Linked DNA regions of Arabidopsis thaliana. The protein of the gene in region 3 interacts with the protein of the main gene of each other region in a pairwise test. Each region holds a gene or a part of one and is shown on either strand. Other genes may lie near its edges.

The links. Proteins that work in one complex are often made in the same cells at the same time.
Region 1: the proteins of AT1G13520 (region 3) and PFK1 interact in a two-hybrid assay, tested with the Arabidopsis thaliana proteins (one large-scale study listed by BioGRID).
Region 2: the proteins of AT1G13520 (region 3) and CSY3 interact in a two-hybrid assay, tested with the Arabidopsis thaliana proteins (one large-scale study listed by BioGRID).

What each region holds. Positions count from the first base shown.
Region 1 is NC_003075.7:14,402,841-14,408,586, forward strand, and holds PFK1 (phosphofructokinase 1), read right to left. Parts: upstream 3,753-5,746; 5' UTR 3,553-3,752; intron 3,404-3,552; 5' UTR 3,232-3,403; coding exon 3,127-3,231; intron 2,963-3,126; coding exon 2,916-2,962; intron 2,815-2,915; coding exon 2,775-2,814; intron 2,690-2,774; coding exon 2,627-2,689; intron 2,554-2,626; coding exon 2,416-2,553; intron 2,328-2,415; coding exon 2,115-2,327; intron 2,052-2,114; coding exon 1,983-2,051; intron 1,883-1,982; coding exon 1,753-1,882; intron 1,664-1,752; coding exon 1,395-1,663; intron 1,304-1,394; coding exon 1,261-1,303; intron 1,177-1,260; coding exon 1,022-1,176; intron 931-1,021; coding exon 781-930; 3' UTR 507-780; downstream 1-506. Other genes in the region: GGT4 (gamma-glutamyl transpeptidase 4), read left to right, coding at 1-113, 195-479. UniProt on the Arabidopsis thaliana protein: Catalyzes the phosphorylation of D-fructose 6-phosphate to fructose 1,6-bisphosphate by ATP, the first committing step of glycolysis.
Region 2 is NC_003071.7:17,802,335-17,808,085, forward strand, and holds CSY3 (citrate synthase 3), read right to left. Parts: upstream 3,740-5,751; 5' UTR 3,658-3,739; coding exon 3,427-3,657; intron 3,338-3,426; coding exon 3,157-3,337; intron 3,055-3,156; coding exon 2,969-3,054; intron 2,762-2,968; coding exon 2,657-2,761; intron 2,541-2,656; coding exon 2,478-2,540; intron 2,358-2,477; coding exon 2,248-2,357; exon of another isoform or gene 2,097-2,247; coding exon 1,977-2,096; intron 1,906-1,976; coding exon 1,830-1,905; intron 1,736-1,829; coding exon 1,662-1,735; intron 1,573-1,661; coding exon 1,452-1,572; intron 1,337-1,451; coding exon 1,239-1,336; intron 1,158-1,238; coding exon 1,034-1,157; intron 939-1,033; coding exon 798-938; 3' UTR 507-797; downstream 1-506. Other genes in the region: AT2G42780 (transcription elongation factor B polypeptide), read left to right, coding at 1-57, 147-312. UniProt on the Arabidopsis thaliana protein: Peroxisomal citrate synthase required for the fatty acid respiration in seedlings, citrate being exported from peroxisomes into mitochondria during respiration of triacylglycerol (TAG).
Region 3 is NC_003070.9:4,631,089-4,634,830, forward strand, and holds AT1G13520 (hypothetical protein (DUF1262)), read right to left. Parts: upstream 2,212-3,742; 5' UTR 2,136-2,211; coding exon 1,816-2,135; intron 1,613-1,815; coding exon 769-1,612; 3' UTR 545-768; downstream 1-544. Other genes in the region: AT1G13530 (hypothetical protein (DUF1262)), read right to left, coding at 2,652-3,489, 3,619-3,730.

The sequences.
Region 1 (5,746 bases), on a different chromosome or scaffold from region 3:
GAGGAGCTGGTGGAATGCATATAATTCCAGCGGTGCTTCAAGTGTTTCTTAATTGCTTTGTGTTGAATATGAAACCTAAAGAAGCAGTAGAGAGTGCCAGAATATACCATAGAGTATGCATAGTTCAAAACCATCTGATTGTTGTTACTAACATTCAAAATGAAATACTCAATGTATTTTGGTTGTTGTTGCAGTTGATACCAAATGTTGTTTCCTATGAGAACTTCACCACGATCAATGGCGATCACATAGGGGTTTCAGAAGATACCAAGATGTTTCTAGCAGAGAGAGGACATGAGCTAAAGGAGCTATCAGGTGGAGCTATAGTTCAACTTATTGTTCAGAGTTTCAAGGAAGAGAAAGAAGAAGAAATGATTATTGAAATTGGAAGGAAAATCGGAAAGAAATCGAAACCATTAAAGGGCTTACTTACTGCAGTTAGTGATCCTCGAAAAGATGGAAAGCCAGCTGCAGTTTGATTTCGTTATTAAGCTAATTACAAATTTCCTCATTCAAGTCCCATTCTCTATCATGTAAATTTGAATAAAGTTACATGAGCCTCAAAGACTCAGCGTGGGATATATACAGAAGCAAAGTTGTAGTTGGAACCAAGAGTTGTTACATTATTCTCACAAGAGTTATCTCTCTCTCTTCTCTTTGCTTGAAGAATATTATAAAACAATTTTTGAAAAGCTTTCTATTAAATTAAGAAACCTTACTTCCCAAACAAAGATGTCCTCAAGTCAAAACACAAACGAATGTTTTTGTAGACAGTGTTGATCACCATTTCATGGTCCCTGGTTCACCAACCAACTGGTTTGAGTGGATCTTGTCAGCTTGCTTCATGAAACTCGGTTGGTTCGTCGAAGACAAAAGCCTCGCCCACATTCTGTCAGTGATCACCACCTTGTTCTGTTTCTCCGTGATCCTCTACACAATATTCAAACCATGTTATTAGGATTCCCAAATTGATATAAATGTAAGAGATGCTCAGGTATGAGTATTTGGTCCTGAGACTCACATTGAAGGGAATGTAAGTATGTCTTCCATTGACAAGGCCAACAGTGAAACCATTGTAACCAGCCATCACTCCATGAACCGCGCTTTGAGCTAAAAGCGTGCAGCATACATTGTCTGATGCATTGCTCGGAACAGCTCGTATCATGTAGGTTGGATCTGAAAGACACCAAAAAAGAAGAAGAAACTTTATCTATTATGTTCCACATACACAAAAGAAAAACTCATAAGATATCTATATACCTATATATTTGAGGGTAAGGGTCATCTTCTTGGCAAAATGATCCTATATAAGAAGAGACAAAGGAAAGCAAATCATTTTCTCAGTTTTTGTCTCACGAAAATCCTCTGTTTTTAGGAATGTCAATAATGTTAACCTTGATTCTTTGGGAGATCCATAGGCCAATGTCTTGAAGAAGTTTGTTTCCAGAGGCATCTTTGAGAGTTGTGGACTCTTTCATGCTTTCAGACAACAGATCTTGTCCCGCACCTTCTGCAATTACAATCACCATATGACCACTCTCCTTTAACCGTTTATCGATAAATTCAAAAAGCCCGCCCGAGCCTTCAAGAAAAAATGGAGATTCCGGGATCAAGCAACAGTCCACATCTCGGCTGGCTAGAGTGGCATGCATTGCAATGAATCCTGCACAAACCCTTAAGAATCCGTAAACATCTCTTCGGTGCTCAGCTAAACTTGGGTGAAAACTACCTAAGTCTAGGGAAACTTCTTACCGCTGTACCGTCCCATTAACTTCACAAGACCAATACCATTCTCAAAGCTTGTAGCTTCGACATGTGCTGCATTGATAGCACGTTGAGCCTCTTCTACAGCTGTGTCAAACCCGAAAGATCTATCGATAATCTGTACCGAGAAAGAACAAACAGTCATTATCCCAAACAACCATAAGAATCTACGATACAATATCGAAATCTCAAACCATTAGGGGGGAAAAAAGAATTACAGGAATGTCATTGTCAATTGTTTTCGGGATTCCGGCAACCGCAACTTTAAGCTTGCGTTTCCTAATCTCCTGCAGAGACAGTCATTAAAGAAATAACCAACGCAATTATTGATCAGAAGTAGTTATGCCTACCTCGAATATAGCAGCTGCTCCTTTCTGTGATCCATCTCCACCGATTATATAAACCTGGTTAATCCCGCGATCTTGAATACTATCTACTATCTTGGTGGTGTTGTGACCGCCTCTTGAAGTCCCGAGGATAGTTCCTCCGCTTCTATGGATATCATTCACTGTTTTTAAGTCCAAATGGATTGTGTTTCTCGCGTAAAATCCTCTGTAACCTCCCTGCAACCAAATTTGATCACAAGATTAATATATTGAGCTAAAAAATTGAGAGCAATGCTGAAAGAATAACTAAACCAATGAGACTTACATCAATGCCAAGGATTCTCTTGACACCATACATATAAGATAATCCACAAACTATCTCTCTGATCACAGTATTAAGCCCGGGACATAGACCGCCACATGTAACAATGCAAGCAAGAACATCATCCGACTCAAAGTAAACCTGCGTAAACAAAACAGTCCCATCAACACTCACCTTCTCAAGCATAGACTCTTTGAAAAGAGACAGAATCTACCCTTTGACGTGGTCCTGCACGACGGAAATGCGTTCCCCTAGGACTATCAGGATGAACTACTATCTACAAAAAGGCGAAACCAGAATCTTCATCAACGAGAGACGAATAAACAAACGCTAATGGCTAAAGGAGAGAGTGTTGTACTTACTTTTTGAGGAACCGTGTCATCCTCATCGACAAAATACTGCCTGAAAACACATTGAATTTGAATCAATGAAGAAGCTGATGATTCAATCACAAGGAAAGAAAGTTAAGTTCCCTGAGGTAAATCAAACAAACAGTAACTTACTTAACAACAGAGTAAGCTGCATTGTCTTGTAATGGATTTGGATATGTCTGAAACATTCGCATGACACAAACAATAGATTTCATCAGAGAAACGTTAAATGATATTTTAAAAAGGTAACTTTAAACCACAATCATATTAAGTTTCAGTCTTTTTCCCGCTCGCATTTTCAGTCACATTATAGATTGAAATTTAAAAAGTCAGAGAGACGTACAGGATGATCAGGAAAGTCGTCGGAGAAATGAGGAACGTCTTCAAGAATATAACCGGCGGGACCAGTAACAATCTTCCGGTCCGAGTTTGGAACAGAAGATGACATAACCAACCTTTTCGGAGACTCAAAGCTCTGATTGTCCGAAACAATCAAACGGAGACCAGAATCGAAGCTCAATGATCGATATTTTCTACTGATTCTAGGGATTAAAAACCCCAATTGATGATGATGATGATCGGTTTCAGATTGTGTACTCCGACGTGAAGATGATCGGAATCTAAACAAATCCATACAATGAAAGATTACAGAAAATGTCATCACCCATTTTTTTTTTATATGAAACCCAAAAAATGGAACAGTCTTCTTTGACTTCAATTTTTTTTTTTATATTGTTAACAAAAATGGAAACTTTAGAAAATAATTCACCTTTGAAGAAATTTGAAACCAAGATGGAAACAAGAAGTAAGGAGGAGGAGGAAGCAGATCAGGCCATCACGGGCTGGTGGTGAATGTATGGATGAAGAAGATAATGAACAAGTGGCGATATGTTTGTGGTTTTTGCTTTTAATGATGAGAAGATACGAGACATTTCAGAAGAGAAGGTTTTAATTACTTTGGTGCAAAATTGACCATTTCAATAATTGAAGAGTTATATTTAAAATTCGTTGAAAGATTTGGGCTGTGTGTAATAATTATTAATAAAGGACTGATTTTTGATGTTTTTTTTTTATTTTAAAAAGAGAATGATTTTGATATTAATTTTTTTGGAGTGGGTGTTTTGGTTATTGGAGTAGGTTTCTAGTTATAGAAATTTTAGGATACGGCATGAACTATGCTCTAGCCTACACCGGCATGTTTCTCATTTGACATAAATTGTAAGTCAAAACATATTTCCCTAATTGGGCTTGATTTCCCTAATTACATTTATTTTCATATTGCGTAAGACTAGGCTTAAGGGAAATTGACACAAAAATGTGTAAGGGAAAGAACTAAGTATGTCCGGCCCACATGACAGAACATCTAATTTAAAATGGGTAAAGCTCATAAGCCCACTAATATTCTGATTTCTGAACCAATTGACCAACCACAATTTGCCCATGTTCTAAGATTTCTTTCATGTGTTTACCAATGCAAGAGACTTTACCGTTAGAATACAAATCTATTCGATCAAAGTTGTGTTTTCTGTAAGAATATCTTCCATCATGCAAAAGTTTATTACATGTCTATGGTTACAAATTGGTTAATAATATATCTAATATGCATTTGTAACCTTTGACAATCAGCTAAGATAAATAACCTAATTTGTTTTTGTTTCTTATATCTCTCTTCATTTAGCATCCAAAAAATTAAAACTGAATTTGATCTAGTAGAACTTTGTGATAGGAAATGGGATAAAACGGAGCTCAAATTCTATTAAGTTCTAAAGACTTCTAAAACAAGAATTATGGCAAAGATATGATAATACCCAGACAAAGAGGCAATCATAGGCATCTATATGTTTTATTCAAGACATGTCTTTGGCCCCTCCATGATTTCATTCTTTGACTCTATAAATTATTTTGAATTTTCTTCTTTTATTTAAGAAATAATATAATTATGATGGGTATTCTATAAATACACAAGATTATATATATGTATGTATTATATATGAATTTCTTTGCCTCTCTTTTTGGTTTGGTGGCGTTCTAACGTTGGGATTGAGATTGTCATTTTTTTTTGTTAAAGGAATGAGATTGTCTTTTGTATATCCTTAACTTGAGTTGTCCAAAAAAAAAAAAAAAAAAAAGTATATCCTTCACTTGAAACTCTTGACGTTAAAGTTACAATCCTTGAGAAATCGAAATGAATTTTAATTTATAAATCTAGCTAGCTATTTAGATTCTTTTTTGCTGTGGTTATGTTTTCAATCTAAACAAACCATTTATTATCTCAAATTATTTTTAACATTTCGGTCCCGCTTAATTATTATTTTTAGCAATATATTTTTTTTTTTACTGATTTAGTGATTTTCAAATCATAATGAATAGTTTAATTTATGTTACAAGAAAAGCTGAAGTATAATTTTGGCAGTTTATCTTAGATTTCAGAACCATAAGAATATAAAATGTTCAAAGAGAGTTCCAAGACCTAAACACTTCAATCCAATCGAAAGATCTCAAATTCAAGGATGGACCCAGAGTTTGTGGGGGCTACGTTAATCTTATTTCATACTACATCATATAAGAGCCGTATAAGCATATTACACCTGACACTTTCTAGACTAAACCGCTTCTAATCAAAAAATTTAAAATGCAGCGTGACCGGAAATCAAGAAAAGCAAAATACTATTTTTGTTGTTACAATTAGGATTAAGGCTTATGTAAAAATGAATCTATTTTTCTTACACTTCATTCGAGAATTTTAAGTGTACGATACAGTTTTCTTCTATTCTTTTTTTTTCCTTTGGTAGTTTTGACCATCTATTGATTTTTCTTTCTCAAATAAGTTGACGTAAACCACATTACATAGATTATACGATAGAACTCATAATCATTACAGTCAAGATACTCAAGATTGTTATGAATTATTATATGATAGATATGTTTAAAGAACGAACACAAATTCAGTTAATAGGCGTAAT
Region 2 (5,751 bases), on a different chromosome or scaffold from region 3:
TTATGGTGGACGAAATCTTACTGAAACTAAAAAGAACACGATTCAGAAGAGTTTCAGGTAACATGTCCTCAGTATCTATATATCTATATGGATCCACTTCTTTATCCCCCAAACTTGATCGGTTTGACGGATCATGTCTTGTATAGTATATCTGCTCCAAAGAGGACTGGCTTATCCGCTAATGCGCCTTCAACTTCAAGAAGCGTTCCTTCTGGTGGACAAAAGCTACCTCCAAGGAGGATCAACGGCCTTCCTGGGACTGCTCCTTCAACTTCAAAAAATGCAGCCACCAGACAAAAACATGTAATGTAACTTATATAGCTTTTTTACAGATCATTTTTTCTTCGAGTGTATCATTTACATGGCTACTTCAAGTTTCAAGAACTCCGAGTTTTGAAACTCTGGCTTGATGATATCCTAGTTTGTAACAATAGATCTTCAAAAGTTTTTACAATGATTTAATAAAGTGCTTTGTTTTCTACTTGTTGCTTTGGCCGAGATATTTCACAACAAACGTCTCTGCAGAAGCATTCGATATAGAAATTAGAGTAATAATCCATAACCATAAATCATTTTATACAATAAACACGTTCTGATAAGAAGACAAACAAGGCGGACAAACACCCTTAGAAGATGGATTGAAGCAAATATAGATCAAGTCTATATTGTGCCTACAAAATGAGAAATCTAAGTTTCGAGTATGATCAAGTATCTTAGCTTTAGGCTAGAGAAACCAATCTCTTTTATTCTTTGCGGTGTGGTTTGATGTATAGTATGGACCCTAAAAGGGCCTACGTCTAAACTGAAGATCCAGCCAAACGTCTTCTTGATGCATTTGAAGTCGCGACTTGACCCAATTTGTCTGACTCTTTCGAGTCATCCGTCACTATTCTCTCTCTCACTGGTGTGTAATGCCTCAGCCACACGCCTGTGTACACCTGCAACATTTAATATTCCAATGAACCATCCAAGTTTCAAATTGATCCAAAGAAAAATCTTTCTCTTATTATTCTTGGAAAGAGATTAACTATACCTGTTGTGGTCTCATGATCTTGGTGTCAGGATCATCCAGTGACTCTTTCCAATGTGACAAGTATCCAGCCATGCGAGGAATCGCGAATAAGACCGTGAAGAACTCCGGTGGAAATCCCATTGCCCTGTTGTAATGGTCCAAGTTTGCAGATTTAGATGAAGTTGAGAGGAAGTTATGGATACTGCACATGCATTCAAACTTTTACCTGTATATTAATCCAGAGTAGAAGTCAACATTTGGATACAGCTTTCTCTTAACAAAGTAATCGTCAGAGAGAGCTGCCTTCTCAAGTGCAACAGCAACCTGCAGACATCAGAATCAAACACATTGGCTTTAAGGAAACATGAAAAATTACACTAAATCGAAAAGGTGGGCATCAAGTTGTAGTATAAGCTTGAACTTCGTGGACATAGCGTACCTCAATTAGAGGATCCTTTCCAACAATGGAAAATACTTCATCAGCCAGGTTCTTGATGACTTTAGCTCGAGGGTCATAGTTTTTGTACACACGGTGTCCAAAACCAGACATCTTCCTCTTCCTAAGATGTCAAAGGGATGAGAATTTTAATGAAAAGACTTGTCACAAACCTCGGAAACGGAAGCATATAGTTTCAAGAATTGATTTTACCTGTTCTTCACACCCTCAATGAACTCTGGAATATTTTCAACAGTCCCAATCTCTGACAACATCTTAAGCACAGCCTAATGGAACCAAAGACATGAATTTCAAAGACCATGGAGCATGAAAATACATCAGAAGATGTAACATATGAAGACATGAGAATAAATAGCATACCTCGTTTGCACCACCATGAAGTGGACCATAAAGCGCTCCCACAGCTCCAGCAACAGCAGTGTAGACATCAACACCGCTACAAGAAGACATTTCCTAATCAATATATCTCCTATCAAGGTCACTAAGATTCCAACCAAAGATAAGTACCTAGAGGCAAGATGCCGAGCAGCAGCGGTGGAGCAGTTCATTTCATGCTCTGCATGCAGTATGAAGAGGATGTCCAACACCCGAGCCAGCCGAGGATTAGGTTTGTAGGATCTATTTCCCCTGTAAGAAGTGTGTTAATGGCACGCTACAAGTTATGTACACAGTAAAAAAATAACTAGGCTTCAAGTTCTCTGAAGCGTCAAGATCTAAAACTAAATCTAAAAGTTGAGTTTCTAACTAATTCAAGAAGAAAGAGATAGCAGAGACATACAGGGAATCAAGCATATAGAGGAAATTATCTGCATAAGGAAGGTTTCCTGAAGGAAGAACAGGAGGCCTTCCTGCCATCCTCAGATAAGCAGCTGCTGCAATTGTTGGTGCCTGCACAAATCGCAAACACGTTTAGTTGCATCAGATCTTCATGAAATTCAGAGTCCAAATATGTTTATGCGTGACACAATATAGGAAGAAGTAAGGTAACCACTGATAACAAAAAAATACCTTTCCAATAATGCGGATAATTTGTTTATCTCTAACTTGTTTTGAATCGTAAATATCCTGGCCCTGCACCCAATAGAGTATCAGTCAACATGTTTATACGGACAATTTCAAAAGAGCTAAAACTAGCGAGTGACAAGGCCTGACATGTTGTTAGAGAAGTAATATAAGGTTAAACCTACCCTAAGAGCAGGATTAGCATCAGGATGAAAGATGGAAAGCGCACTCATTGCACTCACAAGAACTCCCATTGGGTGTGCATCATGAGGCATAGACTGTATAATATCCTGCACAAAAGTTATCAAGTAAGTGGAGTTAGATATGAGAAATATATAGCTTTGAGTACAGCACACAATCCTCAGAACAACATGTATAGAACAGTCTTGACAAATTATTGTTCGACCAGACAAGAAAATAGGCTACTAGTAAAGAACAGGCTAACTCCATTTTACAAATCGAAATTGAAATCCATCAACCAAGGATTAGAGACTCACTAATACACCTTGTGGCACAGCTGAATGCTGAGAAACTGCAAACTCCCAATCAGATAGCTGACTTTCAGAGGGCAGATTCCCATACACTGCCAGAAAATATAGTAAAGGAGAAAACTTTTCATCAATGTCCAATTCGATACACATAACACTTGAAATTGTGTAGTAAGGTTAAAAGGTAAAACACTTACTGAGAAGATAAGCCACCTCCAGAAAAGTACTGTTCTCAGCCATTTCCTCAATTGGGTAGCCACGGTAACGAAGGATCCCTTCATCTCCATCGATGTAAGAAATCGAAGATCGAACAGGAGCCGTGTTCAAGTAACCTGGATCGTATAACTTAAGCCCCTTGTCTTCCTTCCCCGTCACTATCTGCAAGCCAAACAACACGCAACAAAGCAAATTCTCAGCTCAAAATCCCACAGTGATAGGAAAATGGTCATTTAGAAAAAGGGTTAAACCTTTTTGAAATCAACGGCTTTAACGGTACCATCATCTGAGACCGGAACTTTATAATTTTTTCCGGTGCGTTCGTCGACGATCGTCAGTGTTCCCTTCAAAGATCCAAGCGGTGCGACACTCGTATCCGCCGACGTGCACCATCGCTCGATCGCTGGAGAATCCTGTTTTCCTTCCGATAAATGACCTGAGAGAACAGCTAATCGAGCTCGAACTCTCTCTGATATCTCCATTCAACCAAAATCAAAATTCAAAGAAGGAGAGAAGAAGAAGAAAGGGAGCGAAGAAATTATTAGAAACCATTCTTACTCTTCGTTAATATAACACGTGTCTTATCCCCTGCGGTCAGGAGTATTGAACAGTATCCACGTGTATGCGATCTAACGGATATCTTGATATCCAACGGCGTAAGCCTTATTGACCCAACTTGGACTAACGGTGATGATCTTCTCCATCTCTAAGCTGTCAGAATTATGTGGGACCCACTTATCAGTATTATCTAGTTAGTCAATTGCTTTCCTCGATTTGCTAAATATCAATTCGATTGCTACGCAATGCTGAATGGGCCGAATTGTCTTAATATGGGCTTCTGTATATTCATCTTTAGGCCCAACAGTATACCACTTTTTATTTGGGCCTTTTTTGTTGATACGGCTCGCTTTACCATCGGAACCAACCCAACATTCATTTTTCGAACTATGACTGAAATCTTATTAAAAAAATGAATGTAAAGCTAAATATGGATGTTGCGTTCAAAATAAAACTCATGAGTTTATGGATGTTCTTCATAAATTATAGTTATCATTAATCAAAAGATGGAAAATACAAACGGTTATTTACTCTTTAATGTTAGTGTACGAGGCTATTAATCTTATAAGTTGTATTTATGTATTATATTATGGAGAATGAATAGGTCTAATTACGTTTTAAAAAAAAAGCATGGAGGAAATGAGAGTGAAAGGTATAATAAATGACATGTTAAAAGCGACGGGTCGTATATTTTGATTCGTACCTAAAAATAGAATTCTAAGTTTACCCCACGTGAGGCTCTGAATCTGAGAGTGATAGATTTTTCTTTCCCTCCTTCCGTTTTCAACACATGATGACATGAACAAGGAACTGTTCCTTTTTTTTTTCTTTAAACATTATCTGCAACGGTGATCACTCACTCAATGATATCTTTCATTTATAACTTCACACGTCTATAAATTAAATTTGTTCATAGGATCTACAATAACACAATTAACATCACTTGTGTTTTTAAGTTATTCAAGCAGAGGCATAGTAATTGATAAAAATAGACAACAAGAAAGCATTTGAAACAAAATTACTGTTGTAAACAAAGCTTTTTCACGGTAATGGAATTCCGAAATAAAAATATATAAAAAAGAAAGTGACAGAGGAAATGTGTGAGAGAGGCAAAGGAAATGCAATATTTGCAGGAAGAAAAAAAGCATGAGAAAAAAGTAGGTGTGGATTTAGACACATGACTGACAAATTATATTTTTCTAGTTTCTCCTCTATATGGTGGTTTCTGCGTTTATCATGTTTAAATATATTTAAACCTTTCATTAGTCACATCACATCCCAAAAATGTGTACGATAATAAAAAGATTGTTTATATACCAAAATTAATTGGTTTACTCAATCATCTTTTTAATTTTGGTCATTTGATACGATCAATCATAGGGTGTCCTAACGTTAAGTTCGATGACGCTGCTACCTCTTTTGAGCGTACCATTCAGGGTCCTACTCGGCTACTCCTACATAATGAATTTAGCAAATAGCAGTTTAAAAACAAATTACGTTAGTTGATTAAGATAAATAAATTAGCTTAACACAAATTTGAAATGGTTAGTTGAAACTCAATTAACATTAATTTTTCTAGGTCTTCAATTTAGTTGCATGGTTAGACTTGAATCAGGTTGTGTCGTTTTATCAGACTCACTGCAAACTCTTTGTCCAAACTGCTCCCTTATTTTTGTTTATTACACTCTATGTATGTAAATTTTATAACAGATTTACTAGAAATTTAATTCTTACCCAATAGAAAACAAAAACGTCGTTTCATTTCATTTGTTATTTTCTCTTTTGTATACAAACACATATTTATACACACGGCTATGAAGTTGTTCAGGACCATTATGGATGACTCGAAATAATTTTATTAACAATCATATAAAAATCTGAAAATACTAGTATTATTATTAAACTAAAAAAAAAACACAACATTAACGTACATTGCTTTAATAGGAAACTAATACACATCAAAATCGACTCTATTAATTTATTTCCCTAGAAATCATCGGTCTACTTTGGGAACAAAC
Region 3 (3,742 bases):
AATTGAGATAAGAGAGAGCAAAAGTTACAAAATATAGTTGTGGTAGAGAAGCAACAAGAATCCTACAAGACAAGACTCAAATCACTAGAAAAAATAATCTCACTAGCGGCTCAATCAACATTGTTTTTTAAGACTTTTCCGAGATCTTTGACTTAGCTTTTATGGAAGTCCTTTTTGGCAGTTTTTAAATTCACATCACATTGTTTTTAAATTCTATCACGTAACTTAAGTTTTTATCTACTTTGAGTTCCAAATTATGACCATTAACTTCATAATTGTTCATTTGAGCAATCTGCAGAACAGAGGTTTTGTATTGAAACAGAGCCCCCAAAAAACAGAACTTGAAGCAGAATTTAAGAGACATCATAAAATTAAATAAATTATGGAGATATGAGAATCAAATTGGAAAAGCTCTCAATCTCACTTTCTCTTCAACTTATAAACATGTCTAAACTCGTATGTGAAGACTTTTAAATTGGTAGTAGAATCAAAACACGTTATCAGCAACTTTCAAAGAACTTGATTTATATTAAAAAAATGGAGGGCCATAGTTGTTGGAATGAGGGTTACAAGTTTACAATATTAAAAAAAAAACATTTAAGAAGAATGATCAAATAAATGATTCATAATTGAAATTTACGTGAATTTAAATGCGAACTTTTTTTTTTTTTTAATTACTACATGAAATTGCATAAAACTTATTCATTAAATTAATTATTGAACCAAAAGATGACACACAAAGAAACTGAACAAAGATGAATAAAAAACTCAATCCCACTTGCTCTTTAACTTATCAACATGCGTAAACTCATATGTCAACACCAAACTCCCATCCATTCTCTTCAATTCGAAGCTCTCTATCAATACCAAACATCGATAACTCTTCCAATGCGATGACCCGCCTTCAAATCTCTCTGATCTCTTAATGTTAGATCTTTCACCGTTGTTTAACCATCCGAACCTTTCCTCTTCCCATTTCATCCTCTCCACGACAACAGACCCAAGACCTATCTTCTTGTCTTGTCTCTCATCCCCTAAAACACTAAACCAAACAAATCCACCACCACTTGTCTCTCTAGAAATAGTTTCTTGTCCCTCAAGCTTTACCACTTGTGTTTCTACGTCAACATCAACTACAACCTCTCCTCCTTTTTGGTTGTAGTTAACGTTTACGCATGAGTAAACCTCTTCCCATCTTTGTTTAAGCGTCATGCTGTAATAAGGTGAGCTCTTAATCTGATCTTTTGCATCTCTTTCTTTCACAAATATGAAAGGAACATACCATTTCCCTACCACAACACTTGTATTCATATCGTTGGGAAGCTTGGAACGAAGCGTAGTGTTGATCCCTTTTGCATCATCTGTCAAACCAAAGTCTTGGGAATTCGAATACTCAACGGTCCAGTACTTTCTCTTAAGGAACTCTGGTGGTATCCCATTAGGAGCAACTGAAGTGGCAGTGTAATAGCCTGATGATGGTTTACGTTGATGGACCTCGAACTGTTGATATATATCATAAGGATCTGCTTCTTGTGGCTTAACTTCAGGAACATAGCTGAAGCAAAAGCAGCAGGGGACTCTGTCTTCTTCCTTTGCACTCGCCGAAGCTCCTCTGCAATCCAAAATTAGTTTTTTTTTAATGAATACCATTTGTGCAAGTCAGGTCAAAAGGGGTGGCCAATCCGGTCAAACCGAAACCATCCCAAGAAAACCAAACCCAAAAGCAAGTATCTCGAACCATGCATGACATAAATTGATTAAAACCTCAAAAAAACAAAACAAAGTCAAGAAAGTAATTAAGATTTTTGGCCATACCCTGATTGCTTCCCACGTCGTTTAATGACATAATAACGGTTCGAATAATAAGGCTGATCAAGAACCGGAATGAACAGAACCTGGTCATGGTAACTGCGCCTGTCATTACCAGTTCCGGTTCTGTAAGTCACAGTCAGCTTTGCGTTCTGTGGGAACGGTAAGCCTTTGAGTTCACCATCGTAGCAATTTCCAAAGCAACAAGTCGGTTTTGACTCTTCGTCTTGAATCACAAGTACGCCGGAGTTTGGACCTTCCGGCAACGATCGTGTCAAGTCCGACGAGTTTCTCTGGTATTCGGAGAGATGCCTTGTAACATACATCTTGAATTCAGAATCTTGATCAGGTTATTGATTAGAAGAGATATGATATGTTTATATATTGCACCATGTATTGAGGATAACGCGGTAAGCAAATTTTACAAGTTATCGTTTGAAGACTTTTCAAATTTTTTTACTTTATGGTTCAATTCAAACTTTAGAATTCCAAAGTTATGACCTTGACCTGGTTTCACAAACCTATCATGGAGAATCAATCAAACAAATTCTATATTTTCTTTATATTATGATTGACCTAACTATAAGGATCTGCTTCTTGTGACTTAGCTTCAGGAAGAAACTGAAGCAAAAGAAACAGGGGACTCTGTCTTACTCTTTGGCACTAGCTAATGCTTTTCTACAAAATAATTACAAAACTTTTGAGGTTTTTTTCCTTTTAGAGTATACACCCTTTTTGTGCAAGTTAGCTTCACCACATAACACATGAACTTGCATTAACCTTTCAATAAAATGAACACACCATAAATTGAACACATAACACACAAAGAAGCTGAAATAAAGTCAATCCCACTTACTCTTCAACTTATCAACATGTCTAAACTCATACGTCAATACCAAACTCCCATCAGTTTTCTTCAGTTCAAAGGTCTCTACCAGTACATAGCATCTATAACTCTTCCATTGTGGTCCACCGCCTTCAAATTTCTCAGTTCTCTTAATGCTAGACTTTAGTTCATTGCCTTTCTTCGACCACCCAAACCTCTCTTCTTCCCATTTCATCCTCTCCAAGACCACAGACCCAATACCTATCTTCTGAGTCTCTGAGACACCAAACCAGACAACTCCATCTGAATTCACACCTTTTGTCTCTCTTCCAATATTTTCTCCTTCAAGCTTAACCACTTCTGTTTCTACCTCCACATCAACTATAACCTCGCAATTTTTATTGTCAACGTTTTCGCAGAAGAAAACCTCTTCAAATCTTTGGTGAAGTGTCATACTATAATACATCGATTTCTTCATCTGATCTTTAGCATCTCCTTCCTTTACAAACAAAAACGGAACATACCATTTTCCAACTACTACACTCTTACCGAAATCGGGAAGCTCATAGCGCAGCTTTGCATCAACTACACCCTTTGCATCATCAATCAAACCATAGTCTTGGGAAGCAGAGAAAGGAACGGTCCAGCCTTTTCTCCTCAGGAACCGAGGTGGTATTCCATCTGAAGCAACAGATGTAGCGAAAAACTTGCGAGTTGATGAGCCTCTTTGATGTATCTCAAATTGTTGGTATATGTCAAAAGGATCAAGAAGCCTTGGCGTAGCATTAGAGACATAAGTAAAACAAAGGCAACAAGAAACTTTGTCCTCTTCTTTTGCACTAACACATGCTTCTCTGCAATACCAATCAAAGTTTTAAAAGATGTGAATTTAGGCCGCTAAACTATTAATCTTGGCTTAATTAAAACTAAAACGATAAACTTTGATATCTACATAACATGAGAAAGATTCAATAGAATCATACCCTGCATGTTTCCCTCTTCGCCTTATAACGTAGTAAAGATTGGAAGAAGGAGGCTGGTGAAGAACGGGGATGAACGCGACCGAGTCAAGCAAGACAATTCTGTCATCTCCATCTATGGTGAAAT